Linked DNA regions of Ovis aries. The protein of the gene in region 2 binds, or shares a complex with, the protein of the main gene of each other region. Links are inferred from orthologs where the notes say so. Each region holds a gene or a part of one and is shown on either strand. Other genes may lie near its edges. The genes, in order: POLR1C, POLR2E, RUVBL2, POLR1B, ERCC2, DNAAF10 and UBTF.

Evidence for each region.
Region 1: POLR2E (region 2) and POLR1C share a complex: the UniProt entries of both Homo sapiens proteins name them as parts of the pol I pre-initiation complex. The link is inferred for Ovis aries from reciprocal best matches to the Homo sapiens genes POLR2E and POLR1C.
Region 3: POLR2E (region 2) and RUVBL2 share a complex: the UniProt entries of both Homo sapiens proteins name them as parts of the PAQosome complex. The link is inferred for Ovis aries from reciprocal best matches to the Homo sapiens genes POLR2E and RUVBL2.
Region 4: POLR2E (region 2) and POLR1B share a complex: the UniProt entries of both Homo sapiens proteins name them as parts of the pol I pre-initiation complex. The link is inferred for Ovis aries from reciprocal best matches to the Homo sapiens genes POLR2E and POLR1B.
Region 5: POLR2E (region 2) and ERCC2 share a complex: the UniProt entries of both Homo sapiens proteins name them as parts of the TBP-based Pol II pre-initiation complex. The link is inferred for Ovis aries from reciprocal best matches to the Homo sapiens genes POLR2E and ERCC2.
Region 6: POLR2E (region 2) and DNAAF10 share a complex: the UniProt entries of both Homo sapiens proteins name them as parts of the PAQosome complex. The link is inferred for Ovis aries from reciprocal best matches to the Homo sapiens genes POLR2E and DNAAF10.
Region 7: POLR2E (region 2) and UBTF share a complex: the UniProt entries of both Homo sapiens proteins name them as parts of the pol I pre-initiation complex. The link is inferred for Ovis aries from reciprocal best matches to the Homo sapiens genes POLR2E and UBTF.

The regions. Positions count from the first base shown.
Region 1 is NC_056073.1:17,058,118-17,062,328, reverse strand, and holds the start of POLR1C (DNA-directed RNA polymerases I and III subunit RPAC1), read right to left. Parts: upstream 2,842-4,211; 5' UTR 2,821-2,841; coding exon 2,752-2,820; intron 2,633-2,751; coding exon 2,561-2,632; intron 1-2,560. Other genes in the region: protein YIPF3, read left to right, coding at 3,131-3,211, 3,813-4,010, 4,193-4,211. UniProt on the Homo sapiens protein: DNA-dependent RNA polymerase catalyzes the transcription of DNA into RNA using the four ribonucleoside triphosphates as substrates.
Region 2 is NC_056058.1:41,257,698-41,261,974, reverse strand, and holds the start of POLR2E (DNA-directed RNA polymerases I, II, and III subunit RPABC1), read left to right. Parts: upstream 1-1,470; 5' UTR 1,471-1,535; coding exon 1,536-1,592; intron 1,593-3,034; coding exon 3,035-3,209; intron 3,210-4,018; coding exon 4,019-4,134; intron 4,135-4,277. UniProt on the Homo sapiens protein: DNA-dependent RNA polymerase catalyzes the transcription of DNA into RNA using the four ribonucleoside triphosphates as substrates.
Region 3 is NC_056067.1:55,308,955-55,312,538, reverse strand, and holds part of RUVBL2 (ruvB-like 2), read right to left. Parts: intron 2,248-3,584; coding exon 2,141-2,247; intron 2,057-2,140; coding exon 1,963-2,056; intron 1,608-1,962; coding exon 1,484-1,607; intron 1,178-1,483; coding exon 1,083-1,177; intron 997-1,082; coding exon 878-996; intron 1-877. UniProt on the Homo sapiens protein: Possesses single-stranded DNA-stimulated ATPase and ATP-dependent DNA helicase (5' to 3') activity; hexamerization is thought to be critical for ATP hydrolysis and adjacent subunits in the ring-like structure contribute to the ATPase activity.
Region 4 is NC_056056.1:60,441,197-60,445,489, forward strand, and holds the start of POLR1B (DNA-directed RNA polymerase I subunit RPA2), read right to left. Parts: upstream 2,861-4,293; 5' UTR 2,827-2,860; coding exon 2,650-2,826; intron 964-2,649; coding exon 796-963; intron 362-795; coding exon 215-361; intron 1-214. UniProt on the Homo sapiens protein: Catalytic core component of RNA polymerase I (Pol I), a DNA-dependent RNA polymerase which synthesizes ribosomal RNA precursors using the four ribonucleoside triphosphates as substrates.
Region 5 is NC_056067.1:52,774,550-52,778,133, forward strand, and holds part of ERCC2 (general transcription and DNA repair factor IIH helicase subunit XPD), read right to left. Parts: coding exon 3,479-3,584; intron 1,516-3,478; coding exon 1,397-1,515; intron 1-1,396. UniProt on the Homo sapiens protein: ATP-dependent 5'-3' DNA helicase. Component of the general transcription and DNA repair factor IIH (TFIIH) core complex, not absolutely essential for minimal transcription in vitro.
Region 6 is NC_056056.1:40,164,613-40,168,729, reverse strand, and holds the start of DNAAF10 (dynein axonemal assembly factor 10), read right to left. Parts: upstream 2,814-4,117; 5' UTR 2,715-2,813; coding exon 2,532-2,714; intron 1-2,531. Other genes in the region: RNA-binding protein PNO1, read left to right, coding at 3,238-3,444, 3,667-3,816. UniProt on the Homo sapiens protein: Key assembly factor specifically required for the stability of axonemal dynein heavy chains in cytoplasm.
Region 7 is NC_056064.1:43,766,678-43,770,261, forward strand, and holds part of UBTF (nucleolar transcription factor 1), read right to left. Parts: coding exon 3,439-3,584; intron 1,049-3,438; coding exon 984-1,048; intron 704-983; coding exon 583-703; intron 227-582; coding exon 116-226; intron 1-115. UniProt on the Homo sapiens protein: Recognizes the ribosomal RNA gene promoter and activates transcription mediated by RNA polymerase I (Pol I) through cooperative interactions with the transcription factor SL1/TIF-IB complex.

The DNA.
Region 1 (4,211 bases), on a different chromosome or scaffold from region 2:
TAGTAACCCAACAGAGCTTGGCCAAGCATGCGCAATAAAGGTTCTATACAACCTGGTGTTTCACTCCAAGGGAAAATTAAAGGGGGGAAAGCTCTTAGTGTGGTGGCTTTAGGAGACAGATGCACAAGAGAAGCTGTTATAACCACCCATCCTCCCAATAATAAATAGACCGTCCCTAATCAAATAAGTCAAGTGGGCCTTAAGAAGCATTACTATGAGCAAGGCTAGTGGAGGTGATGGAATTCCAGTTGAACTATTTAAAAGCCTAAAAGATGATGCTGTTAAAGTACAGCACTCAATATGCCAGCAAATTTGGAAAAACTAAGCAGTGACCACAAGACTGGAAAAGGTCAGTTTTCATTCCAATCCCAAAGAAAGGCAATGCCAAACAATGTCCAAACTACTGCACAACTGCAGTCGTTTCACATGCCAGCAAAATTATGCTCAAAATTCCCCAAGCTAGGCTTCAATGGTATGTGAACCAAGAACTTCCAGATGTTCAAGCTGGATTTAGAAAAGGCAGAGGAACTAGAGGCCAAATTGCCAACATCCTCTGGATCATAGAAAAAGCAAGAGAAGTCCAGAAAAACATTTACTTCTGCTTCAATGAGTAAGCTAAAGCCTTTGACTGTGTGGATCACAACTGTGGAAAATTAAAGAGATGAGAATACCAGACCACATTGCCTGCCTCCTGAAAAACCTGTATGCAGATCCAGAAGCAACAGTCAGAACTGGAGATGGAACAATGGACTGGTTCAAAATTGGGGAAGGAGGACGTCAAGGCTGTGTATTGTCACCCTGCTTATTTAACTTATATGCAGAGTACTAGATGAAGCACAAGCTGCAGTCAAGATTGCTGGGAGAAATATCAATAACCTCAGATACGTAGGTGACACGATCCTAACGGCAGAAACCGAAGAGGAACTAAACAGCCTCTTGATGAAAGTGAAAGAGAAGAGTGAAAAAGCTGGCTTAAAACTCAACATTCAAAAAACTAAGATCATGGCATCTGAACCATCATTTCATGACAGACAAACGGGGAAAAAATGGTAACAGTGACAGACTTCATTTTCTTGGGCTCCAAAGTTACTGCAGACGGTGACTGCAGCCTTGAAAGACACTTGCTCCTTGGAAGAAAAGCTATGACAAAGCTAGACAGCACATTAAAAAGCAGAGACATCACTTTGCTGACAAAGGTCCATATAGTCACAGCTATGGTTTTTCCAGTAGCCGTGCATGGATGTGAGAGAAAGCTGAGTGCCAAAGAATTGATGCCTTCGAATTGTGGTGCTGGAGAAGACTCTTGAGAGTTCCTTAGACAACAAGGAAGATCAAATGATCAAACCAGTCAATCCTAGAAGAAATAAACCCTGAACATTCATTGAAGGACTGAGGCTGAAGCTGAAGCTCCAATACTTTGGCCACGCAATGCCAAGAGCTGACTCACTGCAAACGAGTGATGCTGGGAAAGATTGAGGGCAAGAGGAGAAGTGGGTGACAGAGGATGAGATGGTTGGATGGTATCACTGACTCAATGGACATGAGTTTGAGCAAACTCCAGGAGATACTGAACGACAGGGAAGCTTGTCGTGCTGCATTCCCTGGGGTCACAAAGTCAGACCCAACTGAGCAACTGAAGAACAACAACAAAGAAACCTGCACCCATTCAAGGAATTAAAATAATGGAGTGGGGCTAGAAAGACCCTCAGGTGGTCTCCTCACTCGTGTGGACACTCGTATTCTTCTGTGAGTGCCTGCTTTCCCTTCTCCTTAATAAATTGCTTCTTTGTTCTCTCTACACCTCAGTTTCTCTGTGTGACATTTTTTTGCACTTTGGACAGGTAGAATAAGAACCTGGACCTTTACTTTAGCATGTCCCACATCACAAGTATGGCAGGAGACAGACGGGCTCCAGCTGAGGAATTTCCTATCAGCCTCCTGTTTGCCCTCCAGAAACGAAGAGAGAACAGAAACAGAGTCAACAGTCTTTGTCTCTAGTAAATATCTTGAAGAAATAATTATAGCAAGAACAAAGCAAGGCGAAATCCCTCGTCTGAGTAAGGATTAAGGGATCTCCGCTTCCCCCTTTTTAGGATAAGGAAGATACATCACAAGTGCAGAAAGGCTACTTGGGGTCAAAAGTCAGAGGATAATTCAGGCCATAACGAGTCTTGCTCTTCCCAGAAGCCTTCACTTCCAGATCCATCTTGGCTAAGAGGTGAGTGTGCATCCCATGGGAGGGTCCTGCCCGTGTGCCTTTCTACATGTACTTCTCTTTTCAATCAACTTCGTACTTTACTCTGTACCTTCTGCCTCCTCGCCTGAATTCGTTCTTGACTAGGCAGACAAGGACTAGGGACTCTAGCCCTAACTGCTGGCTCCTGTGGTCGTAGTTAGGACTACCGGTGGGGGAAGCTACAACCCCGCTTCCAGCTACCGCCCTCTGCCCCTTGCTGCAAGCTGCCCTTTTCTGCTGCGCCTTGGAAATTACAAGGACAGCTTCTAAGGCACAGGTTGCTCATATCACAAAGTCCGATCCCACAGTTCCAGCTCCACCTACCTTCTCAAAGCGGTCCTGGTCCCAGGCATCATCGTAGCCGCAATAGTTACCGGGAAAGTCAGTGGTATGAACCTAGAGCAAAGAGAGACGAGAATGTCTGCGAAGGGGCAGCGAGGCCAAGCCCGTCCCCACTCTGACGCCAACTCATCCCTGATTCACTCTGCTCCCGAGCTGAAGGCCACAAGACTTACATTGCGAACCCCAAACTCCCCTAGAACCACGCGGGTCCTCATTTCCTCCACAGCCTGGGCCGCCGCCATCTTCAACTCCTCCACGTGACCAGAGTACCTAACTGATGCGTGCGCACTAGTCGTCCGCCTCCGTTTCTGTAGCAACGCACCTCCTAGAATCTTAAATATCGCGAGACTGTGCCTTGCCTCCGTCCACGTCCCCAGCTACCGGAAGTTGGTTTGAGCCAAACATCCGGGTTTCTCCTTTTTTTGCATTCCGACCCATAGTACCTTTCTTTCTTGTCCCTAGACCTGTCCCTTTCTCAGGCCCGCATCTCTCCCACTCCTCCTCCGCGCGCGGGACAAGCACGGGCTTCAGCGACGGGAGCCCTCGAGGGACATGGCAACTCCGGCGGCGCCGGCTGGCGGCGCCCGAAACGGGACCGGCCCGGAATGGGGAGGGTTCGAAGAAAACATCCAGGTAATGGCCCCACGGCTCCGGCTGCCCGCAGCCCCTGGGCCGGCAGCCGCCCTGAACTCTCCCTCAGAGCCTGGAAGTCTGGTCCATTTGCAACACTTTTTATCTTCTTTTGAGTCTTCGTGCACAAGAAAGGCAGTGGGGCTAGTGCTGGTCTTAAAGCTCCAGACTGGTACTCCAGCCAGGGGCCTTAGGTATCTGGGCCCAATTGCTCTTGCTTTCCACAAGTTTAGGAAAGTCAGTCGGAGACAGGCATGGCGGGAGTGGGCTTGGGGGTGGATGGGATTCACTAGCCAAAACCACACTTGGTGCGCATAGCCTTGTTTTGGGGTTGGGAGAGATGAAGGAAATGGGCACTTTGCAGCCCTTTGGGGCCTTGGTAGGGAAGGTAGGAAAAAGCCGTGTATGGAAGACAGGGACTAGGTTCCCCAGACTAGAACAGAGCACCAAACAAGCAGGGGTTCTGAGACCAAATGAGGAGAAGAGAGTGGCGTCATCTGTGGCGATTTCAAGTCCCCTAGCCCCAAACCTTGTGGTGAACGGAGAAGGACTCAACTGGACGAAGCAGAAAGGTCCTGCACTCTAGGGTCTGTTGTCTTCACAGGGTGGGGGCTCAGCAGTGATTGACATGGAGAACATGGATGATACCTCAGGCTCCAGCTTCGAGGACATGGGTGAGCTGCATCAGCGCCTGCGTGAGGAAGAAGTGGATGCTGATGCAGCTGCTGCTGAAGAAGAGGATGGGGAGTTCCTGGGGATGAAGGGCTTTAAGGGACAGCTGAGCCGGCAGGTGGCTGATCAGGTAAGCACAGTTGGCTCCCTGACAGGTGGAAAAGTATACCGAGGAGACCTCTGGTTCTGGAGTTGGTGAAGTCCACCCCAGGTTGTCCAGTTCACACCATTTTGAAATCAGATAAAAAATAAGTAACATAGAGCCAAGAGTTTGACAGCACCCTTTCACCCCACCCATCTTCCTTGCTATAGATGTGGCAGGCAGGGAAGA
Region 2 (4,277 bases):
CATTGAGGCACAGAGAGGTTAAGTAATGTGCCCAGGTCGCACAGCCAGCACTGGAGCCCAGGTAACCACATCTCTTTGCCTTCTGCCGTTTCCTCCCCTCCTCCCAGCTTCAGGGCTCAGGCCTGACTTCTGATGCGCTCTGTGACCTCATCAGCCTCTCAACTCCAGTCTGCACTGTGCGCCCACAACATCCACATCAGCCTCCACTCCAAGCTCATCCTGAGTTCCAGGCTTGTGCCCTACTGTCCCCTGGATGCTCCCCGTAGGGTCCCCCAGGAGTCCCAAGCTCACCATATCCAAGATCTGCTCCAGATCTGCCTTCTATGCCTCCCCACCGAGGTCTGTTCTTCCTCCTCTGCTTGTCTCTGTGTCTTTCCACATCCTGTCCACCTACAGATCCTATGAGCGCTGCCTTCTGGACACCCTAGACCTGCCCACAGCTCATCCTTCACTTGAGGCCTCATCTATCTCTGGCCGGGACGGTCCTCCCTAGCCCACTCCTTGGTCTCCCTGTTTCTGCCCTGTGGAGATGCTGAAAATGGCTGCAAGCACAAACTTCTCAAACCCAACCAGCAAGGGCTCCCAAGATCTGCCCCACCTGACCCTCTGACCCACAGGCCTCCTTGCTGCCAACATGCTAGGCCTCAGGGCCTTTGCACATGCTGTACCCTCTACCTGATACACTTTCCTCGACATCCCCAGGGCTTCTACCCTCTCACCCTTTGGATTTTTGTTGGAACCTTCCATGACCACATTTGAGACTTCTCTATTTTTTCTTCCACAGCACTGTCTCCTTCTAACACGCTGTATCATTTACTTATGTCCGCTGTTTCTGTCCTGTCTCTCCCTGGCATGTAAGGATGCTTGGTCTGTTTTGTTCCCCGTCTCTTTGGCTCCTCATTAAATACTGAATCATTGAATTAATATATTACTGAATGAGAAGTTACTGACACAAGTAAGCTGGGCTGAGCAGGCCTGAACAAACCTCCTGAACGAACTCGGAGGGGAAGGGCCGATGCAGAGGTTGTGCACTCTTGGGGTATCCAGGCAGGGGCTGGGCTGGGGCTCAGCTGCATTTTGTAAGCACCAGGAACTATACCAAGCTCCTCCCAAGTACGAGCATCTCTTTAGATCCTCTAAAATGGGGGACACTTTATTCTTTTCATTATACAAAACGGAAAACCGAGGCTCCGCTCACACTTCCTCAATCTCTCCAGATTCTAAACACTGTCCAGACTGACGTTGAGCAAAAACCACCACTCCCGAGAAGCCGTGCCGTCAAAGCATCGCGAGAACTTCCGAGGGGCGGGTGGGCGGTGCTGTTTGAAAGCTGCTCGCGCAACCAACCGCCGCTTTAGGAAGGCTAGGGCTGCCCTTGGCAGTGCCGCTCCCGAAGGTCGCTGTATTCAGGCGTTCGCCTGCGACAGCCCTGCACGGGTAGACGACGTGTTGGGGGCCTGATCAGGACTCGGAGTAGGCACTGTGGGCCCTGGTCGTGCTGGTCGCAGGCGCAGTGTGTGAGAGCGGCGGGAATCATGGACGATGAGGAGGAGACATACCGGCTGTGGAAGATCCGCAAGACCATCATGCAGGTGAGCCGCGCGGAGGCAGCCCTCCTTGGAGAACGCGGTGAGGGCGTGCCTGGCTGCGCCAGACGAACTGGGCACGTGGCGGCCGAGGCGTGAACGGCGGGTGCTAGGGCCCGTTGATGAGGACGAGCCTCTTCACCCGCGGCGGCGCGGCTGGAGCGGAGGAGTCGAGCCCCAGAGCCCCCAGAGAAGGGGGTCAGGATCTCGCTCGAGCTGGAGAGAGGGAAGGCGGGAGACGCTGGGCCGCCTTGTATTTGTGTTTCTGGAGGGTTGTGGTGTTACAGCCCCTGATCCTTGAAGTTCTTAATCAGTAAGAATTGATAACAGGCCAGACTAGAAGGTCAGGCAAGGCTTTGTTGGAGCTTATGCTGCAGCAGGAGGGAGCGAAAACAAGCAACAGGCGCCCTTCTTAGGTCGTCTTGAATGGGATAATGGGATGAGGGTGGGCGCGGGTCCAGGGGTCATGCCAGAGTGATGATTCGGGTGGTCTGCCTACCCTCTGGGTGGTGCTGTGTGCAGGGATCAGGCCTGGCACCCAGCTTTTGCTCCGGCACCTCAGAAGTGGAGGTTTTGACTTTCTGTTGTTGTCTATCATTTGCTCGAGCTGGGCAATTGCACGGTTATTTTTAGTCCCGCATGGTTTCTGGGTATTCTGTTGCTGGAGAAGATGTTTGTCCAAGTGCAGGCGCTGCCGCAAAGGGTCCCAGCTCCCAGCCTGTCTTATCAGCACCACCGTAAGTGCATAACGCAGAATCCCGGGTTCTTGACGGTGGAAGGAACCCTGGTGGGCTGGTCTGACTGCTGTCTGGTGGTTACTTAGATGCCTTGCCCACCAACTCAGTCTCAGTGTCACAGCAGTCACACCAGCTTTTTCTGTGTACCACATGCTTTAAGCCACCATGTGAGAGGGGTCCAGTGTGATGCCACAAAGACTTGGGGCCTTGATCAAGAGCACCCAGCCTCCTGGGAATTGTGCTGGAGCTAAGGCTGGGCTATGACCCAGCCTCTTCAACACTTGGCAGAGCTACTCAAGACAGGGCGGGAGCAGCTGCGCTTCTACCTGATGGTGTCGGGGCTGCGGGAGAGGAGACCCAGGTCTCTGAATGGAGACTCGGCGGGGGGTGGGGGATGTGGGCAGGGCTGGGTGGCAGCTCCAACCTTCCTTTGTCTGGGTCCTCACCTAGTCTGTGTGCTCACAGAGCCCTAGTTTCTGAGCAGGACCTTGAACTGCTGGGCCTCAGGCTTTTGCCTGGTTTCACAGCCAACACCCGCCCAGCCTGCTGTACCTGTCAGACCTACGCCCTGGGGCCTGACTCTGGACTCAACATCTCCGCTTGCATCCCAGGCCTTTCCCCAGTCTCCTCTGCGGTGGGTGAGGCCACCGGAGCTCTGGCTGCTGTCCTATCTCCACTGTGCGATCGATCACCTGCCCTTTCTCTCTGCAGCTGTGCCATGACCGTGGTTACCTGGTGACCCAGGACGAGCTGGACCAGACTCTGGAGGAGTTCAAGGCCCAGTTTGGGGACAAGCCCAGTGAAGGGCGGCCAAGGCGCACGGACCTCACGGTGCTGGTGGCCCACAACGACGACCCTACTGACCAGATGTTCGTCTTCTTCCCAGGTGAGGGCTGCTCAGGGCCAGCTCACAGCAGCCACCTGCTGTGCGCCCCAGAGTCATGCACCCACCCTTATCCTTCTGTCCCCTGCCCTCCTTGCTCTGGGAACCCCTTCTCCAGCTTCCCTCTTCTCGATCACCCATCCATTCTCTCTGGGCCTAAAGATCACATTTCCAAATACAGTTTCATTCTGAGATTCCAGGGCCAGGACCCCAACAGAGGGACTTTGAGGGCAGAGTGGGTTAGTGGAATGGGAAGTGAGAGCAGCTGGAAGGGGCGGACATACTGCACACAGACCCTGGGGCTGCCCTAGGTGCTGACCTGCTGGGCTCCTAGGGTCCGGCTGTTCTGTGGCAGGCCCTGCATGCTGCCAAGACCATGAGGACCCCCAGTGCTACGGCATGGAGATGGGTGGTCTGTGTCTGGCAGGACCATACTCTCTGGGTCAGCTCACCTCAGCTTACCTCTGAGAACCCCAGCCCTTGTCTCATGAACTCCAAGACTAAACCAAATCCAGGGCTTCCCAAACCTCAGAGCCACTGAGCCCTGGCCAAGCCCAGACTCCCAGACCCCACTTCCAGAAGAGGTCCCTGAGGTCCAGGGCACCCAGGGCACTTGTCAGCTCCCATGTGACCTGGAGGCAGCCAGCTCCCCCATTCTGGGAACCAGCTGCCCAGTTCTTGCTTTGCACACGGGGAGGCTGAGGCCCAAGAGTGGGAGTGGCACCGCAGTGCCTTGGCAGAGCCAGGCTAGAACCTGGGTGCCCGATGGGAAGGGGCCCTGCAGCACTGATCAGCCTGTGCTCTGCCTGCAGAGGAGCCCAAGGTGGGCATCAAGACCATCAAGGTGTACTGTCAGCGCATGCAGGAGGAGAACATCACACGTGCCCTCATTGTGGTGCAGCAGGGCATGACGCCCTCTGCCAAGCAGGTAAGCCTGCCCCGCCAGGGTGGGATGGAGCCTGGCCAGCACCTCTGTCCCCAGGCCCGGGGACCGGCTGCCACACTAGCTCCCAGCCACCCTGGGAGCATCCTGACAGGTACTTACCTTTCTTGATGTGAGATGAAGGCCTT
Region 3 (3,584 bases), on a different chromosome or scaffold from region 2:
CCGATCCCATGGCCTGACCTGCAGCTGCTACAAACACGCTCATTTGGACACCAAACTCCAGCCTGCTGCCTTCCACATGTGACCCAGGGCAAGTCACCGGGCCTTGCTATCCCCCATCTTGAAAACAGGGCCGAGGGAATTCCTAGGTGGGCCAGTGGTTAGGACTCCATGCTTCCACTGCAGGGGGCACAGGTTTGAGTCCTGGTTGGGAAACTAAGATGTGGCAAGCCATGCGGCATGGCCAAAAAATAAAATTAGTAAGATAAGGGGCTTCCCTGGTGGTCCAGTGATTAAGACTCCAAGCTTCCAACGCAGGGGGCGTGGGTTAGATCCCTGGTTGGTGAACTAAGATCCCACAGGCCCTGCAGTACGTGTTTGGCGGCAAGAGGAATGGAACGGAATGGGGCTGAGACGGTATCTAGCTCCTGAGCTCCTTTTGAGGAAAGGCTGAGCCAAAAGCCAGGGACAACCTGCCCATTATCCCTGGTAGTCGCCCCTTTCTTCCCTGTGCTTCAGCTGGCAAAAGGCCGTAGTCATGCCCCTGAGCAGCCCAGGGCAGCGGCTGTGCTGGGTGCAGCCTTCAGGCCCCCGGCTCGCATGAGCTCTTCGTCCCCTGCTTCCTTCTCACTTCCTGTGGACTTTTGAAGATGAGGTGAGGAAGAGCCAGCAGGCAGAACCGGGCACAGCAAAACCCTATGGCAGAGGTTCCCAAGTTTTGTGGTATCTGCTACTCTTCCTGCCTCAGGGGTTTTTCCACTGTATCCTTAGATCAAGAGAAATACTAAGCTGCGTTCCCTTTATTTCTATTCAGCAGTGAGGCATAAGCGACTTGCTCCCTGTTCTCCCAGGGGCCTCCTCAGGGGCCAGCGGGGCTTACCGGGTGATGCCGCGGTTGGTAGCCATGATGAGGACAGGCGCCATGTCACTCTCCAGGGCTCGGTTGAGGAAGGAGAAGCTCTCAATGTCCAGCATGTGGACCTCGTCGATGAACAGCACCTGGGGGCCGTTGGGCAGGTATCAAGCCCACGTCCCACGCCTCTCTTCTCCCGCGCCCCCCAACCTGGCCTGGCCCGGGTACTCACGCCAGGGATAATCTCTGCCTTGCCCTCCTCCCGCCACTCGGCCACCTTGGCGTTGATCTGCTCTCGGACTTCGGACTTGATCTCCCCTGTGTCGCCTGTGGGAGGCAGGGTGTCAGAGAGGAGAAGGGATCCAGGGCCGGGGGTCGGGGAGGGCAGTGGACGAAGGCAGAGAGAGACAGGACGCCGGAGACACAGAGAGCGAGCTGGAGTGGCGACGTGACAGTGGCCGGGGACTCAGAGACGTCCCAGAGAGGCAACAGACGAGCCAAACCACAGGTGAAGAGCGGAAGACGGCAAGAGGGATGGCGGAGAGGGGAAACGCCAGGCCGTCCTGGTGCACGGCGGGGCGGGGCGGGGCGGGGAGGGAGCCTCCCGGCGCGGGTGGCCCAGGTGGGCCTCACCTGAGAAGAGGGCCAGGAAGCCCTGGGTGCGGGAGTTGATGACGTCGATCTCGTGGAGAGACACCGTGTGCACCACCTCCTTGCGCTTCTGCAGCTCCCCGTCTGGGCACTGCACGAACTTGGTCTGTGGGGCCGGGGCGGGGTAGACAAGGGCAGAAAAGAGCATGAAGCGGGGGCCCCGGGGGCTGTCGAGGGGAGACGGGCTCCCTGGAATGGAGCTAGGAATCCAGATGGGGGTGATGCAGAAACCCCAGGCCTGAGGGGTAAAGACTAGGGCAGCCCAGAGCACTGAAGGATACAGGGGTTCCTGGAGGACCCCAGAAACCCCTGGCTGTTCTGGAGGGTATGGGGAGGCACCAGGAGGGCCAGGGACACAGGGCTGGGATGACAGGAGGGTCTGGACCCTGCAGACGCCAGGGGCAGGGGGGAGAGAGAAACGTGCTGGTGCCTGAGCGAGGGGACCCAGGAGCCCTGCCCACCTGGGAGCCCATGGCGTCATAGTCGCGAGCCCGTGTGAAAGAGCGTCCCAGCTTGGAGATCTTGCCTGTGGCCTTGTCGATGGTGATCACGTCCCTGCAGGGGAAGGCGGGCAGGGGTGAGGACGGGAAGGGCCGGAGCTCCCCTACCCTGGCCACCGGTGTGGCCCCCACTGCTCACCCGGCCTGGACCTTGTCCTTGGTCAGGGACTCGATCATCTTGGTGCCCAGGTCATATATGGTCTCCATCTCTGTGGTCTTGAGGGTCAGCTTGCCGACTTTGGAGCCCTGAGGGGTGACAGGTAAGGGGTTTAGAGGGGGCCCTGATGTCTCCCCAGCACAGCTTCAGAACCAGCATGACATGGGGCAGTGCTGGGGGCTTGATGAAGATATGCACTGTCACAGCCTCGGTGACAGCTTTGTGGCTATGTGTATGTCAAAACCTAAAATCCTGAAAACTTTCTGGGGCATGGCTTATTGGAGGTCAGTTGCGCCTTAATAAAGCTTTAAAAATCCAGTAAAGGGGACTTGCCTGGAAATCCAGCGGATAAGACTCTGTACTCTTAATGCAGGGGGCCCAGGTTCGATCCCTGGTCAGAGAACTAGATCCCATATGCCACAACTAAGACCTGGCTTAGCCTAAATAAATAAATTAAAACCAGTAAAGGAACAAACAGGGACTTCCCTGGTGGTCCAGTGGTTAAAACGCCACACTTCCCGTGCAGGAGGCATGGGTTTGATCCTGGTTGAGGAGCTGAGATCCCACACGCCGTGAGCACTGCCCCTGCCCCCCAAAGAGAAACAAAAGCCTAAAAGAGAAAATCTGTAAAAACAACAGGCACCTGAGGTCCCACCGAAGGGTCAAGGGGGCGGGTCCCACTCTAAAATTTGTTTTTCATACCCAAATAAAAGGTGGTCTTTTGTTAACCACATACCCAGAAGAACACAGCTAAACACAGCTAAGACAACAAAAATGCCACACCCCATCCCCAAGAGATAAGCTAAGAAAACAAAATGTCATACACCCTCCCCACCAGATAAGCTAAGAAAACAAAATGTCACCACCCCCCCACCAACAACACCCCCCAAGGTAAACAGTCACCAAGTCTGGGCTTTTCCCAGCATATCCTGTCTCACCTGTTTCCTGGAGTTGTTTCCATAGTGAGATGCTCCCTTTGTAGGGAGAGGTGGCAAGTGGGTTTGGGGAGGGAGTTAAAGGGAGTTTTGGTTGTTCATTTTCAGTTTTTCTTTTTGGCTGTGCTGGGTCTTGGCCGGGGCATGCGGATCTTAATTCCCTGGCCAGGGATCGAACCCAGGCCCCCTGCATTGGAAGCATAGAGTCCCAGCCACTGGACCACCAGGAAGTCCCCGGTTGTTCATTTTGATGAGGGTATATCCATGGATTTCTTCTGTAACCTCTTTAAACTCTAATTTAAAGAACTATCTGGGAAATAGCTTTCCCTATACTTAGACTCTTCCACATTGTTTTTTTTTCTACCGTGTTTTTAAAATTCAAAATTTAATTGCCAATAGATAAGACTAATTTAGGAGGCTGTTACAAGTGCTAAAAGTGCAGTTGACCGCAGTTATTCACTTTAAGTCTATTTCCACTGAAAATGAGAAGC
Region 4 (4,293 bases), on a different chromosome or scaffold from region 2:
CTAGAGTGTTCTTTTTCATACACTGTCTCATCTGAGACTTGTTATGAAGCCTACACAGAGCATAGACAAGACATCAAGGCCCCTGTTACCTATCTAGAAATTAAAGCAGAGTAAGAAAACTGAACTCCCTGACAAGCTTTCTGTTCTCACACTCCCAGTTCTGGCCCTTTCTACTGTCACCAGGTCTTTCAGGGCACGGCTCCCCTGTGGGTACCTCTGCTTCCTCATGGTGCTCGATGAGGGCTTTTGGAGGAAGGCTGTATAAGTTGCAAAGCTTGGATTTCACCATGATGGGAACGTAGCCCAGAAACTGCTTAATGACTCCTTTTGAGATTCCATTCACTGACCAGCTGATATCGGCCTAAGTGAAAATGAGAGAGAGAAAAAAGTTAAAAAAAAAAGTGGGGGACTATCTAGATCTGTAGGAATAAATGAGTATTCTAGGGGAGGGAGACAGAGGGATGGACTGGGACTTTGGGGTTGGTAGATGGAAGCTATTACAGTTAGAATGGATAAACAACAAGGTCCTACACAGGGAACTATATTCAATATCCTGTGATAAACCACAATAGAATACTGAAAAAAAAAAGTATATAAAAAAAGAATAGATGAGTATTTTAAAAGATTAAGGCAGAGGACCATAAACTAAATGATTTTATGCTTTAGGTTTAAAAGATGGGATCTCTCGGACGACAGCACTGAGAAAGCCAAATTCTGGTATAAACCGTATTAGGCACTGGGCTTATTCAAAAAAAATGTACAGTGTGTGAGTCGCATGCTGTCACTCATACTCACTGTCAGCTTTCCCCGGTAGGTGCTCCTCCGGCCTCGGCACTCTGCTGGATAAACGTTGAGCTCTTTGCAGATGCTCCCTTTGGGAACGGCTGGAGGACTGATGACGGCATCCACAATGGTGAGAGAGATCCGCTCATCTTTGAAAGCAAATTCAAAGGGAGGGACGGCCTGAAATACAGTTGAGACAGTCAACCGCTTGCACTTGCAAGGCACTTTCTCTCAGACTCTTTCAAATTTCAGGTGTTCTACAAGCACTGATGGCTATCATCCTAATGCAACACATCTAAAAAGAGCCAGCACTACATCTGGGCTACTCCTGTCCTAAGTACCTAAAACAGCATTAAGAAGACTTTCTGGTCTACTCACTGTTGGATTCTATAATAGGTTCTAGGGATACAGCTGTTTACGGACAAAGCTGTCCTCTGAACCAAGTACCTGACTTCAGTAGTGTGTATATGTTAATCCCAAACTCCTAATTTATTTCTGCTTCACATTTTACCTTGTACTCTCTTTGTGCATATGTTGTTGTTCAGTTGCTAAGCAGTGTCCAACTCTTTGCGACCCCATGGATTGTAGTCCCGTCAAGCTCTTCCTCAAGAATACTGGAGTGGGTTGCCATTCCCTTCTCCAGGGGATCTTCCTGACCCAGGGGATGAACCTGGGTCTCCTGCATTGCAGATTCTTTACCGTCTGAGCTACCAGAGAACCCATTTTAGCGGAAAGATTCCTTGATCATCTCAACGCTGGACTCTTTTTCATTGTTTTAATAAATCCCAGGGTCAATTAACTTATAAGCAGATTTACAATTTTTCTCATAGACATGATACAATGAGTCCAGGCACGATAGAAATTATTTCCCATCAGACAAAAATATCTCATCTTTTGCAAACGGGTGAAGCAGTATTAATCTTCGAAGAAGCCTCGATGGTTCCCCCATTATTTGCAGAAGAGAGTTCAAGCATCAGAAACTGGCTCAGCTTTCAACATTCTCTCCACCCCTCCTGCAGAACAAGCCCTACCCAACAAAAGCAGAGGGTAGAGACCCCTGAGCTCTGCTCCTGCACTCCCCCTGGAGGGAACGTACTCTTCTCTTGGATTCATGAGGTCCTGCCCTGGGTTAGCTGCACCTCCCTCCTCTGTGCCCCCGCACATAGCCCCTTGGCAAGAGAATTGCTCCAGAGTACTGGCACTGACTGCCTTCACAGCTCCACCTGCTGCTGCTGCTAAGTCGCTTCAGCCGTGCCGACTCTGTGCGACCCGATAGACTGCAGCCCACTCCATCCCGTCCCTGGGATTCTCGAGGCAAGAATACTGGCGTGGGTTGCCATTTCCTTCTCCATCACAGCTCCACCACCTCCACCCAAAACAAGATAGCAAGCAAGAACTCTCTCTTACATAGGTCTGCCTCTCCCTCACTGTCAGAGCCCAGTGCCCGGAGACACCGGGATGCTTACTAAATGAGACCCTACCCCATTATTTTAACCTGAAGCCTGCTACCATCACCCTCTAGACCAATCACTTTAGTATGGAGTAAATGTTACCTAATGACGTTACCAATCTCTTAAGGAGGACCAAAGGTTTCCCACTGAATCTCGCTTTAATGACTCACTGGCACCTTCCTCGACATAGCCCGGCGCTGGGCCTGTGCCCAACTCCCCCGTCTCCTGGATCCCTCCTCCCCTCTTCCAGGCCCCAAGCCTCACTCACCTCTCCCTCTTCCTTCTCCAGCGCCTCACACACCCCGCACCCCATCCGCCGTGCCGCCAGGCCCCTTTGCTTCACCCGCCTGTAGCAGGGGCTAGAGGCGCCGGAGAACCCAAAATTGAGGAACGGCTGGGAGGAGGCCAAGCTCACCTGCACCGCGTGGCTGAGCCCCTCGCTCACAGCGTAGTTGAAAGACTCGACATGCGCCCGCGTCAGCTCCTGCAACGCTGGCTTTTGCTGCTCCCGCGGGATCCCGTAAGACGAGTCGGTCAAGTGCTTTAGGCTGGGCCCACTGGGCAGGTTTCGCCACCGGCCGCCGGGATCCATGAGTTTGCCAGCACACCGGGCGCCAGGGACTGCTCCACACGCGCCGGAAACACCACCCGGCGCCCAGCACCCATGACCTGCTGGGAAATGTAGTTCCTCTTGGTCTGCCGGCCCTGGGTCCTCAGATTTTACAGGGTCGACTAGAAACTAATACTTGGAGCAAGTGGGCCCGTTCAAAATCCTGCAGAGTCGGAGAGCGGCGGATCGGCTCCGTCTCCTCTCTTCCGGTGTCCACCCCTGTAGATCTCCGTTCTCCACTCACAAAGGGGAAGTCCGCTCCACGGCCAATTCCGCCTGTGAAATCTCCATCTTTCATTTGCGGTTTAGGACCGGCGGAGAGTGATGTTCAAAGATTTCCTTCTCTTTCCTTGACGACTTTGCGATCCAATATTGATGCAGACTCTCGGGGTGACACCCAACCAGAGTTCTGGCTTCAAGGAAAAAGCAGTTAGGCACCAAACCGACTGCCCTCTACCCAGACCAGGGTAAGGGGTTAAGTCGGGAAGGTTCATCACTGGGACCGTCTAGCGGTGGTCCTACCCCCATTAGCCCCTCCCCGCGTCGTCTAGACTCGAGTCTTGAGCGGGAGCCGGCAACGTGTGTGCAGGCGGGCGTCCTAGCCCTAATATCCTTTAGTTATTTAGTCGCTAAGTCATGTTCAGCTCCTTGCGACCCCATGGACTCTAGCCCTCTAGGCTCCTCTGTCCATGGGATTGCCCGGGCAAGAACACTGGAGTGGGTTGCCATTCCCTTCTCCAGGGGATCTTTCCCAACCCAGGGATCCGGGGATCTTAGTTCCCTGACCAGGGATCAAACCTGTGCCCCCTGCAGTGGAAATGCAGACTCTTAACCACTGGACCTCCAGGGATACTTTGAGTCTAAATCCTATACTCCATTCATCTCCCCAGAAAACGATTTATCGGAGACTGTCTGCAGCTGTCTTTCAGCGTAATCTTTCCTGTGTATGTGCGTTTAACAGCTCTATCCTGTACGCGGTATAACTGACACACGATAAACTACACCTGCTTAAAGGGTACGCGCTGGTAAGTTTTGACCTAGGTATGTGCCTCCTGGGCTTCCGTGATGAAGCTATCATCACGATTAAGATAATGAACTCATTCACCACTTAAGAGAAATGTCCACCTGACGCAATTCCACCTTTACCTAGGTCCGGTGGTAATTCTCATTCCTGTATCAATTTTAAAAATTATCCTCTGTTTCTTTCTTATGTTTACACCATCAAATCTCCCAAGATGTGTGCAGCTGTGACCTAAATTCTGCCTTCTCTTCCTTTACAGCGACTGCTACTTTTAGGAAAAACTCTCTTCCTCTATTCCCTCTCTCTTGGCCAGGAAGGTAGGAGAATGAGGGGATTATGACAGGTGCAACCATTTCCATCAGCATACAAACTTGCTGGAAAAGCTGTTAGAAGACAGCTCGCTGATCTCTTTCTTGTCCCCTTTAGAA
Region 5 (3,584 bases), on a different chromosome or scaffold from region 2:
TCAGGAATGAGGTCGTTCATGGTTCCTGCCATCTCCCCAGGGCTGGGCCTGGCCCATTTATTGAGCAAATAAATGAATGAACGCATCCGCATAATCAATTTCACTTCGCAAAGATGTTTTTAAAAATATCATCATGTCCTCTGTGCCAAGCCCAGGACTGGGAACACAGCAGTGACCGAGACAACCCTGGCCTCGCCCTCTCAGGACTCACAGTCCAAGGATAGGGACACAGAGCTGTCTCCAGAGTGACCACTCTGAGTGGGAAGGCTGGGACAGGGGAGCCTAAAGGAGAGGGCCTGGCCCAGCCTCGGAGCCAGAGGGGCTTCCTGGAGGAGGAGGAGACGTCTCTCCTGAGCCAAGAACTGAGGGGTGACAGGGAAGACAGTTGGGAAGATGGGGAAAGCTGTTCCAGGTACAAGAATGTGAGGTGTCGGTAGATGGAGAAGTGGGGAAGAGAGGAGGACGGACAGACCAAGGAGGAGGATGGGATGGACAGAGGGACAGAGGCAGAAAGAAGATTCCAGTGACACTTGCTGCCCATCGGCGCTGGGGTGGGGACGGGCTATCTTCCTGCCAAGGCCAGGCCCGCCCGCGGGCCGTCAGACAGGCTGACCTAGTTTGCTGGATAGAGGAGTAATCCCCGGGGATGAGACTGAGCCCTTGGCAGCTTAAAGCTGATGAGTTGGGGGCAGAATGCTCCCCTGTACCCTCCCAGCAGGCTGGAAATCTGAGCGTCCTCCCCCCAAGGCCCCGCACGACCAGGCACCAAGTCGCGGCCTCTTGACCTCCCACGACTCTCTCTAGCACCCCACCCCGTCCTGGCCCAGCCTCTGCCAGAAGAATCCTCTAAAGCGCAATCTGCCCCTACCTCTCCCTGTTCAGAACCTGCCATGGCTCCCCAGTGCCGCTGGGAGAATGACCACCCCCCCCCACATGCCCCCCAGGGTGAGCGGACCCCGCAGATTCTCTCCTTCCTCTCCTCACGCCACTGCCCACCCCCACCCACCTCCATCTGCAGCCAGAGAGAGCCTTTAAAAATACCCTCCTGAGCACAAGGCTCACTCACTCAAGGGCTGTTTGTGGCTCCCCACTGCCCTCAAAATAAGGCCCAGAGCACTTCCCTGGTGGTCCAGGGGCTAAAACCCTGCACTCCCAACACCGGGGGCCTGGGTTTGATCCCTGGTCAGGGAACTAGATCCCACATGCCGCAACTAAAGATCCTGCACGTCACAACTAAGACCGGCGTGGCTAATAAATTTTAAAACAAATAAATAAAGTCCAAACTTCAGAGGCTGGGCTACCCTCTGGGTACTCTCCCAGGGGCTACCCTCTAGGCCCTGCCGGATCCCAATTCCAGCTGCTGGGGGCCGGCAGAGGCAGGAAGAGGCGAGCTTACCCTTCGCGTAGGTACTGACAAGCGTGGCGAAGTTAGCGAGGAGGGTAAGTGGGGAGAAGTCAGTGAGGTCCGAGATCTCCAAGGTGTGCAAGAGGGAGCGGAGGCGCTCGGCGCAGAACCTGGTGGGGTGGGGGGCGGGCAGGTGAGGGAGGTGGTGGCTGCAGGCTGGATAGCCCCCTCGTCACCGTCAGAGCACGTGCTCACATGCCGTCTCCCCAGCCACCTGGCAGCTCCGGGAGGTCAGGGTCTGGGTCACTCTGTGTCCCCACCTTGTACCACTGCCCATCACGGGGGGCACAGCCACAGGAGGGCACACAGAGCAATAATCTCACAACCCAGAGTCACCGCCCAAATTCTTAGACTGTGAGGAATCTGCCTGTAAGGCAGGAGACCCTTCCTGGGTCAGGAAGACTCCCTGGAGAAGGGCATGGCAATCCACTCCAGTATTCTCGCCTGGAGAATCCCATGGACAGAGGAGCCTGGTGGGCTACAGTCCAGGGGGTAGCACAGAGTCAGACATGACTGAGCGACTAACACTCCAGAGCCACACAGTCCTGTCACATGAGGTAACGCTCTCATACACAGGTTCTCAATCAAAAGGGGCGACCCACGACCACCCCCAGCATCCCACGGTCAGCACGTGAACGCCACACGGCCACAGGGTCACACACTCCCGCCCGGATCTCCACAAGGTCAGTCTCGGCCACAGTCCTCAGTGACACAGCGTTAGAGTTCCGCACGCTCCCAGATGATGGCCTCGGTGACGGCTCCTCCCTCACTGAGCCTGACACAGGCTCTACCAACGGCACACAAGCAAGGCCACCCAGCTTGAGGCAGGGACAGGCCGTGTGTGGAGCGGGAGCACCCAGCTTTGGCGCCAGGCAGACAGTCAAGTTTAAAACCTGCCTCCTGGGACTTCCCTGGTGGGCCAGTGGTTAAGACACCCAATGCAGGGGGCCCAGGTTCAAGCCCTGGTCAGGGAACTAGATCCCACATGCCGAGCAGTGTGCCCAAGAAAAATAAGAAATAAAGTGAATAAAACCTGTCTCCTGTATGTCCTTTCTTCCAGTCTGCCTATCCCCCAGGCTCGATCAGACGGCCCCTGTGTTCCTGCAGCCTCCAGGACACCCCCCCACCCTGAGCCCTGGACTGACCCTGTCTGGGAAAGGTCTGTCTCCCCAACTGGACTGTGAGCCCAGGAGGGCAGGGCCAGGGCCGTCTCCATCATTGCTGTGTCCCCAGCACAGAGCAGGCCCTCGGAACACGGACCCTGTGACTCAGATCCCCTCTGTCCTCACAAGTCTCTCGTGAGGGAAGAAGGGTGAAGCCGCACCAAGGGCTCCCACCTCCTCAGAGGCAGAGCAGCCAGGAGCCTCAGAGCCCCACCGGCAGGGCTTCTGGTCACAACCACACACAGTGCCGGGAGGCTTCCCCTCCACGGGACACAGCGTCCTCATCGGCAGCACAAGGCGGGAACTCCGTGTTGTGTCCCCGGGCCGTGGACTGCGAAGCACTCGGCTTGTCATCAGTGCTCTAGACGGGGTGGGTTCCTGGGGTCGCTGCTTTGTCATTAAACCACCACAGGAACCTGGGGGTAAAGGGGCTGACCCCCTACCCCTTGCACAGAGGAGGAAAACTGAGGTTCAGAGAAGACCAAAGACTGATCCACAGCACAAAGGAAAAGCAGAGGAAGCTCCACCCCCACTCCAGAGCCCCTCATCACTGGCCCTGCCCCCAGACTGCACCTGAGGGGCTGGCTCCTGCCCAGGGGCTGGGGGGCAATGAGAGGCCCTGGCAGGAGGAAACAGGGAGTGAGGGGCCCACAGCATTTTCTCCCAGCTCCCATCCCGCTGGCCCTCATCAGGAGCCCCTCTCCAGGGCCACTCCCTCCATGGCCTGGAGTGAGAACACCCCTGAGCACTGGCCAGGGCCCTGGGGTCTCGCCGCCGCCCCCCTCCCTCTGCACACAGTCTTCCATCACACTTCCCGAGGTCAGTTCTCTGATCATGGCTACTGACAAGGGCGCCCACCCCACATCCCCACCGGGACCCCTCCCACGCCCAGCCCCCGCGGCAGCCGCACCTGAGGGGCTTGCGCTGGATGCAGACGCGCTGGGCCAGGCCGCTGAGGAAGGCGGGCGGGCTCTCCTGGACCACATGCTGCACCCGCAGGCGCCACTTGACGTACT
Region 6 (4,117 bases), on a different chromosome or scaffold from region 2:
GGCAAGAACACTGGAGTGGGTTGCCATTTCCTTCTCCAATGCATGAAAGTGAAAAGTGAAAATGAAGTCACTCAGTCGTGTCCGACTCCCAGCGACCCCATGGACTGCAGCCTACCAGGCTCCTCCGTCCATGGGATTTTCCAGGCAAGAGTCCTGGAGTGCTCTAAAGGCATTTAAAAACTAGTAAACAGATATAAAAATGTTAGTTAATATCCTTATTCTCCAATTCTTCCATTAGTGTAATCTTTACAAAACTTGTAAACCTAACCTTGCCACACCCTGCATAAAGCCCTTCACTGAAGTCCCATTTTTCTTACAAAAACAGGCACAAATCTTTTAAATGATCTACAGCATTTGCAAGGCCTCCTCTCTGCTGTTTTGTTCCAAAAGGAGATAATCTCTCTCCCTCATTGCTGAGCTGTTTCCTCTTGGAAATCTCAACTCCTAATTTGACCTACTTAGCTTTTACTCAATGCAAATCTGGTTTTCTGGTTTTGTTTTTACTCTCATAGAACCATGTGCCTTTACATTAGAGAATTCATCTCAGTTTGTGTTTTATGTATTGTTAGTTTGATTATTTAATTGATTCTCTCTCCCACTAGGAAAAAAAAACTCCATAGTAATCAGGGACATTGTCTGTCATTTACTAGCTGGAGAATACCAGGCAATCAACTGACACTTGTTGAAAGAATAATTGTTTTGGATTGTCTCCTCCAATTACATAGTAGGCATCCTAGTGCCTGCTTTGGCTCTGCTTGTATGACCAAGTATTTTACTATCTTGGACCCATTAAAAGACTCTCCACAGATAAAGAACTAATCTCAAAAATATACAAGCAACTCTTGCAGCTCAATTCCAGAAAAATAAACGACCCAATCAAAAAATGGGCCAAAGAACTAAACAGACATTTTTCCAAAGAAGACATACAGATGGCTAACAAACACATGAAAAGATGCTCAACATCACTCATTATCAGAGAAATGTAAATCAAAACCACAATGAGGTACCATTTCACGCCAGTCAGAATGGCTGCGATCCAAAAGTCTATAAGCAATAAATGCTGGAGAAGGTGTGGAGAAAAGGGAACCCTCTTACACTGTTGGTGGGAATGCAAACTAGTACAGCCACTATGGAGAACAGTGTGGAGATTCCTTAAAAAACTGGAAATAGAACTGCCTTCTGGTACTGCTAAGTCGCTTCAGTCGTGTCCAACTCTGTGTGACCCCATAGATGGAAGCCCACCAGGCTCCCCCATCCCTGGGATTCTCCAGGCAAGAACACTGGAGTGGGTTGCCATTTCCTTCTCCAATGCATGAAAGTGAAAAGTGAAAGGGAAGTCGCTCAGTTGTGTCCCACACTTCTCGACCCCATGGACTGCAGCCTTCCAGGCTTCTCCACCCATGGGATTTTCCAGGCAAGAGTACTGGAGCGGGGTGCCACTGCCTTCTCCAAGAACTGCCTTATGACCCAGCAATCCCACTGCTGGGCATACACACCGAGGAAACCAGAATTGAAAGAGACACGTGTACCCCAATGTTCATCGCAGCACTGTTTATAATAGCCAGGACATGGAAGCAACCTAGATGTCCATCAGCAGATGAATGGATAAGAAAGCTGTGGTACATATACACAATGGAGTATTACTCAGCCATTAAAAAGAATACATTTGAATCAGTTCTGATAAGGTGGATGAAACTGGAGCCTATTATACACAGTGAAGTAAGCCGGAAAGAAAAACATCAATACAGTATACTAACGCATATATATGGAATTTAGAAAGATGGTAACGATAACTCTGTATGCGAGACAGCAAGAGACACAGATGTATAGAACAGTCTTTTGGACTCTGTGGGAGAGGGAGAGGGTGGGATGATTTGGGAGAATGGCATTGAAAGATGTATAATATCATATATGAAACGAATCGCCAGTCCAGGTTCCATGCATGATACAGGATGCTTGGGGCTAGTGCACTGGGATGACCGAGAGGGATGGTACGGGGAGGGAGGTGGGAGGGGGGTTCAGGATGGGGAACACGTGTACACCCGTGGCGGATTCATGTTGATGTATGGCAAAACCAATACAATATTGTAAAGTAATTAGCCTCTAATTAAAATAAATAAATTTATATTAAAAATAACATTCAAAAAATAAAAAGAAAAAAAGACTCTCCACAAACAAATGCGCACTGCCCAGAAACGCCTCGAATTTAAACGTGAAGTTATAACGTCACCTCCAGGGACCTCGCACTGGACTGGGAGAAGGGTGGGGATGGCTGGAGGAAGGGACCAGCAAAGCAGGAATGAATTAGCCCGATGAGAATTCAGGTCTCGAACGAAAGCGTTTTACGTCGGAATTATTCCTCAGTCTGCGGTCAGATTCGCTACTCCCGCGCAGTTTCAGCACCGCTTTGGGGGGACGCTGGACAAAGGCTTTGGCAAAAAGGAACGCAGAACTCCCGCCCCCAAGATCCGCACTCCCCTCCAGGAGCAGTCCCAGATTTTGGAACTGGGAGGTCTCGACCCGGCACCCACCTCCCGCAGCAGCTTTAGGTCCCCTTGCTGGATCTCGTACAGCTGAATGACGCCGGTGCCCCGTGCGAAGTTGCCCATGGTCACAAATTTGGCGCTGCAGGGCATCCACTTACAGTCAAACACCGTGTAATTGAGGCTCTTCTGGATATGCGAGATGATCTGAGGCTTCTCAAAGGCCGACATGGTCCAGCCGAGAGATTTCGCCTCCGCCAAGCGGGACACAGCCAACAAACCCTGACGAAACAAACCTGGAAACCAGAGTCCAAACGTTACGGATAGTTTGTCCCTCCCGCCTGCCGTAGGCGCCCCTAGAAACCTAACAAGCAGTTTTAGGTTTCTCAGATAATGCCGGATGCTCTAGTGCAGGCCCACAAGAGTTTCCTTCCCCAACAACACAAACTTGTTATGGCTTTACCTAGTGCCTTTCGTACAGATACAGATTATGGGTTATAAAGCGCGCTGACTGCGAGAGGTGTGGGCAGAGGGCGAACCTAAGAATCAGGCATATTTTAGGACAGCCCTCCCTCCTCACCAACAAACACGCAGAAACTCCCGCTTTAGGTCCCCCGCATGGGACGTCTTAGGAAAGAGGGCGGAGCCCTGGGGCTGGTTGGCGGAGGTTGGGGGCCTGTGAGGCGCGCCTGCGCGGTACAGCCTCGCACGTGTTGAAGCTGGAAGCTGAGGTTGGGGCTGGAGGCTCTGGAGAATGGAAAGCGTGATGGAGGCACAGAGCCCGTTGGCCGAGGACGGCTTCAGTCAGGTCACCCGCAAAGGTGGCCGGCGGGCGAAGAAACGGCAGGCTGAGCAGCCGTCCACGCCGGAGGAGGGAGGCGACGCGACCTGCATGGACACCGAGGAAGCTCGACCCGCTAAGAGGCCCGTCTTCCCGCCCCTCTCCGGGGACGGGTTCCTGGTACTGGCTGGGACCGAGGAACAGGAACGGGGCTGGGGCCAGAGACGGGTCGGCCCGGTGGCCTCTGGGTGATGACGCTTTTTCTGGAGTGAAGCTCAGAGCGGCGACTCTCCTGGTGTTTAATCTGTCCAATTAAAGGAGGCTTTTTGAGGATCAGTTGTCGTTACAACTTCACCCTCATTCCTTTAAACAACTGCTGAGTTGTGTTTTCTTTTGTCGTAGAATGGGAAAGAAGAAACCAGGAAAATTCCAGTCCCAGCTAACAGATACACGCCACTAAAAGAGAACTGGCTGAAGATATTTACTCCTATTGTGGAGCATTTGGGACTTCAGATACGCTTTAACTTGAAATCGAGGAATGTTGAAATCAGAGTAAGGAGACTATTAACCACTTTAAAATATGCCGAGGTTTTTCTGTCCTAGGAAGAAAGAACAGACTTTCTAGGAATTCTTAGTGGGACTTACCTTGTTGAATGAGTTTCTTCCAGTTTGACCTGAAACTAAACTAAACTACCAGCTGCGTTTCAGCACATTTTAAAGTGTTCTGTGTTGATTGATTAAAGGGTTAATAAAGAGGTTATCGTCAATAGAAGTATGTAAATGAGCAGCCGAAGTACTTGCTGTAGTACAGATACTATATTTTAGTGTTACTTTTTAGGAAAAAATAAGTTTT
Region 7 (3,584 bases), on a different chromosome or scaffold from region 2:
CTCCCTCAGTGACGGGATGGGCAGTGACTGCCTCCCGCAGAACGCGGAGGCTGCAGAGTCAGAGGGCAGAGGCTCGTGAAGAGCCGGACGGGGAGGAGCGCAGCGGAAGCCTAACCTCGTACTCCTTCCGCTGCTCCAGGGCCTTATGAATCCATTTCAGCCTCTTTTTGTCCGAGAGCTGAGACCACTGCTTCCCCAGGGAGTCCTTCACCTCCTTCGTAGTGGCCTGCAAACCAAAAGCCGTCAGACACACACAGGCAGCCAGGGGGAGGGGGAAGGGGAAGGGGAGGGGGACACAGAGGCCCCCGCCCCCTCAGGCCACAGGAGGTCACAAGAGTGTCCCCCACGGGCCAGGAGGGGAAGGCAGAGAGGCGGAGGGTCCCGCCTGGGTGCGAGGGGACAGGCTCACACACGCACACGCACGCACGCACACGCCAGCTGGCCCAGGCCCTGTCCATGCAGCCCACCCCTGGGGAGGGGCCTCCTCTCCTGCTCCCCTGCACCATGCCCGGCCGACCTGCCGCGGCTCCCCCCTTGCCACCACCGTGCGCCCTCCCCGCCACCCCTTGGCCGGACACTCACATCTGGCCGCACTTTGAGATACACCTTCTTCTCGTGGGTGTACCACAGCTGCTGGGGGGTTTTGGGCTTCTCGGGGATGTCCGACTTCTTGGCATTCTGGATTAGGTCTGGGTGATCCTCCCTAGCCAGGGCGCGGGGAGCGACAGTCAGTGGTTGGGGATGGGGGTCCTGCCAGGGCAGACCCTGGCTAGCTGCCCCACTCGCTAAGGCTCCTCAGCCCATCAGCTGGGGCCTAGTGGACCAGTGGTTAGCTGCCAGTCTCTGCCCCTGAATGTGAACCACTACGGTCAACAAGTGACCCATCCATCTTCCATGCCTCATGGGTGTTGAGCGCCAGGCTCTAATCCCCTCTCCTGCCACACCCAGCACCCTGTGGCCTCCTCTGGGCTCCACTGCCTTACCTGAATCGGGCGAGGTTTCGCTCAAACTCCTGTTTCTCCCTCTGGAAGTCCTGAATATATTTCATCTGGGGGGAGGAGGCGATGGGGTCATCCATGACCCAAGAGCTGAGCCACAAACCCCACCAAGTCCTCCTTGCTACCTATTTTGCCTCCCTGTCAGTGATGTGTATGGAGAATGTCCTGAGTAGGGGGGTGGGGGAAGGGAAGATGGTGGCCTGCCTTCTGGTGGGTTGGTGGCGGGTGGGGGGGGGGGGACTCTGTAGCTGACACTAGGACCTACAGGGGTCTCCCAGAACACATCCCATCCCCTCACTTTAAGAAAGGGAGAGTCCCAGGATGGGGGTGGAGGTGGGGTGGCCACATGGCATTACCCAGTCATTCACTAAGCAGGGACAGCACTGGGATTCCCCGAGATAGTCCCCCTCTGCCTTTCCCCAACACCAAGGAAACCCCCAGGGAGGGAGTCAGGGAGGGCATAGGCCTTGCCTGTCGCTCGCTCCTCCTCTGTCTGTGGCAGCTAATACTAGTGTGCCCTCTCAGGTGGCCCACAGGGCTGGGGGCAGGCTGAGTCCCACTTCTAAGGCACTGAGGAGAGAGACTTAACTGACTGCATCCCAGAGTGAATTCTTGTCTTCTGAAGCTGGATTTCCCCCCACCTCCAATCCTCTATCTTTGGGTCCCTGGTTGTCCTTGGCGATCCTGACACCATCCCCGCCACAACCCTCAGTCATGACCACTTTCCCTGCCTCCGATCCCTTCTTCCAGGTTCTTGGCTCCCTGCGCCATCCCTCCCCCAGCCCCTTCCTTCTCTCACCCTGGTCCCCCCTTCCCACCATCCCATCTCTATCCCTGCATCCTTCCTGCCTCCCTGCACCCCTCCCTCTTGGACTTCTTTTCCAGCCTGTCTCTTTCCCTTCTTCGTCTACCTCCCCTCCTGGCCCCAGTTCAACGTCCCTCTTTCCTTTCTCCCTCTTCTTCCCAGATTCACAACCAGAATAGCGCTGGAGGAGGCCAGGGACACATGCTACTTGAGCCCAACCTCTGCCTCTCATCAGGTGCGAGAAGCAAGGCCGTTCTGCTTCCCTCTGAGGTTTCCACAAAAAAACCGAGAGCAGAGCCCTGCCTCCTTCGCCCCAGTCTCAGCTCTCCTCTCACAGAAACAGCAGCTTTCAGAGCCAGAAGGCACCACCCAGATCAGGCTCAACCTCCACGCCTCAGATCAAGACCAGGCCCAGAAGATGGAAATGACTTACCAAAGGGCACATGTACGGTGATGCAGTGGCAGTTCAGGGGAACAGGCTCAGTGTGTCCCCTAGGCCAGCACTCTGTCCACTGTACCTCGGAGTTTCCTCTGTCCCGCCCTGGTCCTGAGACCCTCTGCCTCTCCCTCTCACCCCATGGGAACATCTGGGCAGTGTGTATACAGTCAGCTCTGCAACAGCCCCATCAGAGGGGTCAAGAATAGCTCCAGCAATTCGTACTCCAGCTTGGTTCAGGCAGCAGCTGCAGACAGCTGGATGGACCCAGTCAAGCGAGCTCCTTTTTTTGGGTACAAGACCAGGCCATGTGAGCCCGAAGCCAGGGTGTGCAAACTGGGACAAGGGCTGCTCCCAGGGCTGGTGCCCTCCCGAGAGCCAGCTGCCTACACTGTCTCCTCTCCAGCAAGTGTGCCTTCTTGTCTCTTCTGCTGCCCCTCGCTAGCATCTCTCCCTGGCTCCATCTCACCAGGCAGTATCTCCTCTGTGCGTCTCTTTCTGCCCACCGCCTCTCACTGTTGTCCTACCTGCAGGCTCCTCCGATGCTGTGCTGCCTGTTTCTCCCAGGGACCACACAACCTCACTGTGTTGACCATGTCCACCCCTGCCTGGGAGGCTGGGGCAGCCTCTACCCAAGGTTAATGGGCTTGACAATCTGGGACAGCACGGGGCCACAAAGGACAATATGTGTAAGGGGGAGGAAGTCCATGTAACCTGGGGACGCACCCGTTACCTGCCTAGAGAAGAGGGCTAGGCAGAGAGCCCAGGCACTAAACCATGGTCCTGGGACACGATGCCCTCCTGCACCCCAGTTCCTCTGACCGCAAAATTCAGACCACTCAGTCTCCTGGAGTTACCTCTATGAGCATCAAGTGAGACCATGTGGGGAAACGTCAGACGTGAATGTGCAAGCCTAACAGTGAGGACATGTGTGTGAAAGAGGACGTGTGTTATAGTGTCTGTCTTGGTCGTGGTTACATCTGTAGCAGTGCCAACACCTGAGGGTGTGTGGGCCCAGGAGGCGATGATCAGGTGCGCTCCCCAAGGCCCTCCTCTACTCTGCTGACCCACCCACGCCCCTGACACCAGGTCCCTCGGTCTAAACCCTTGCTGCCCCCCTACCCCCTGAGCCAGATAACCTACACCATACCAGCTTCTCCCCACCTCTTCCCTCTGCACCTTAGCCCCCCGCCCCCCACCTTCTTCTTCTCCGGCAGTTCCTTGTATTTCTTGGACAGAATCTTGGTCAGGTCCAGGTTACTCATCTCCGGGTGGAGTTTAGCATACTTGGCCCGCTTCTCCATGAAGAAGCGAAAGTAAGGGGTCAGGGGCTTCTTTGGGAAGT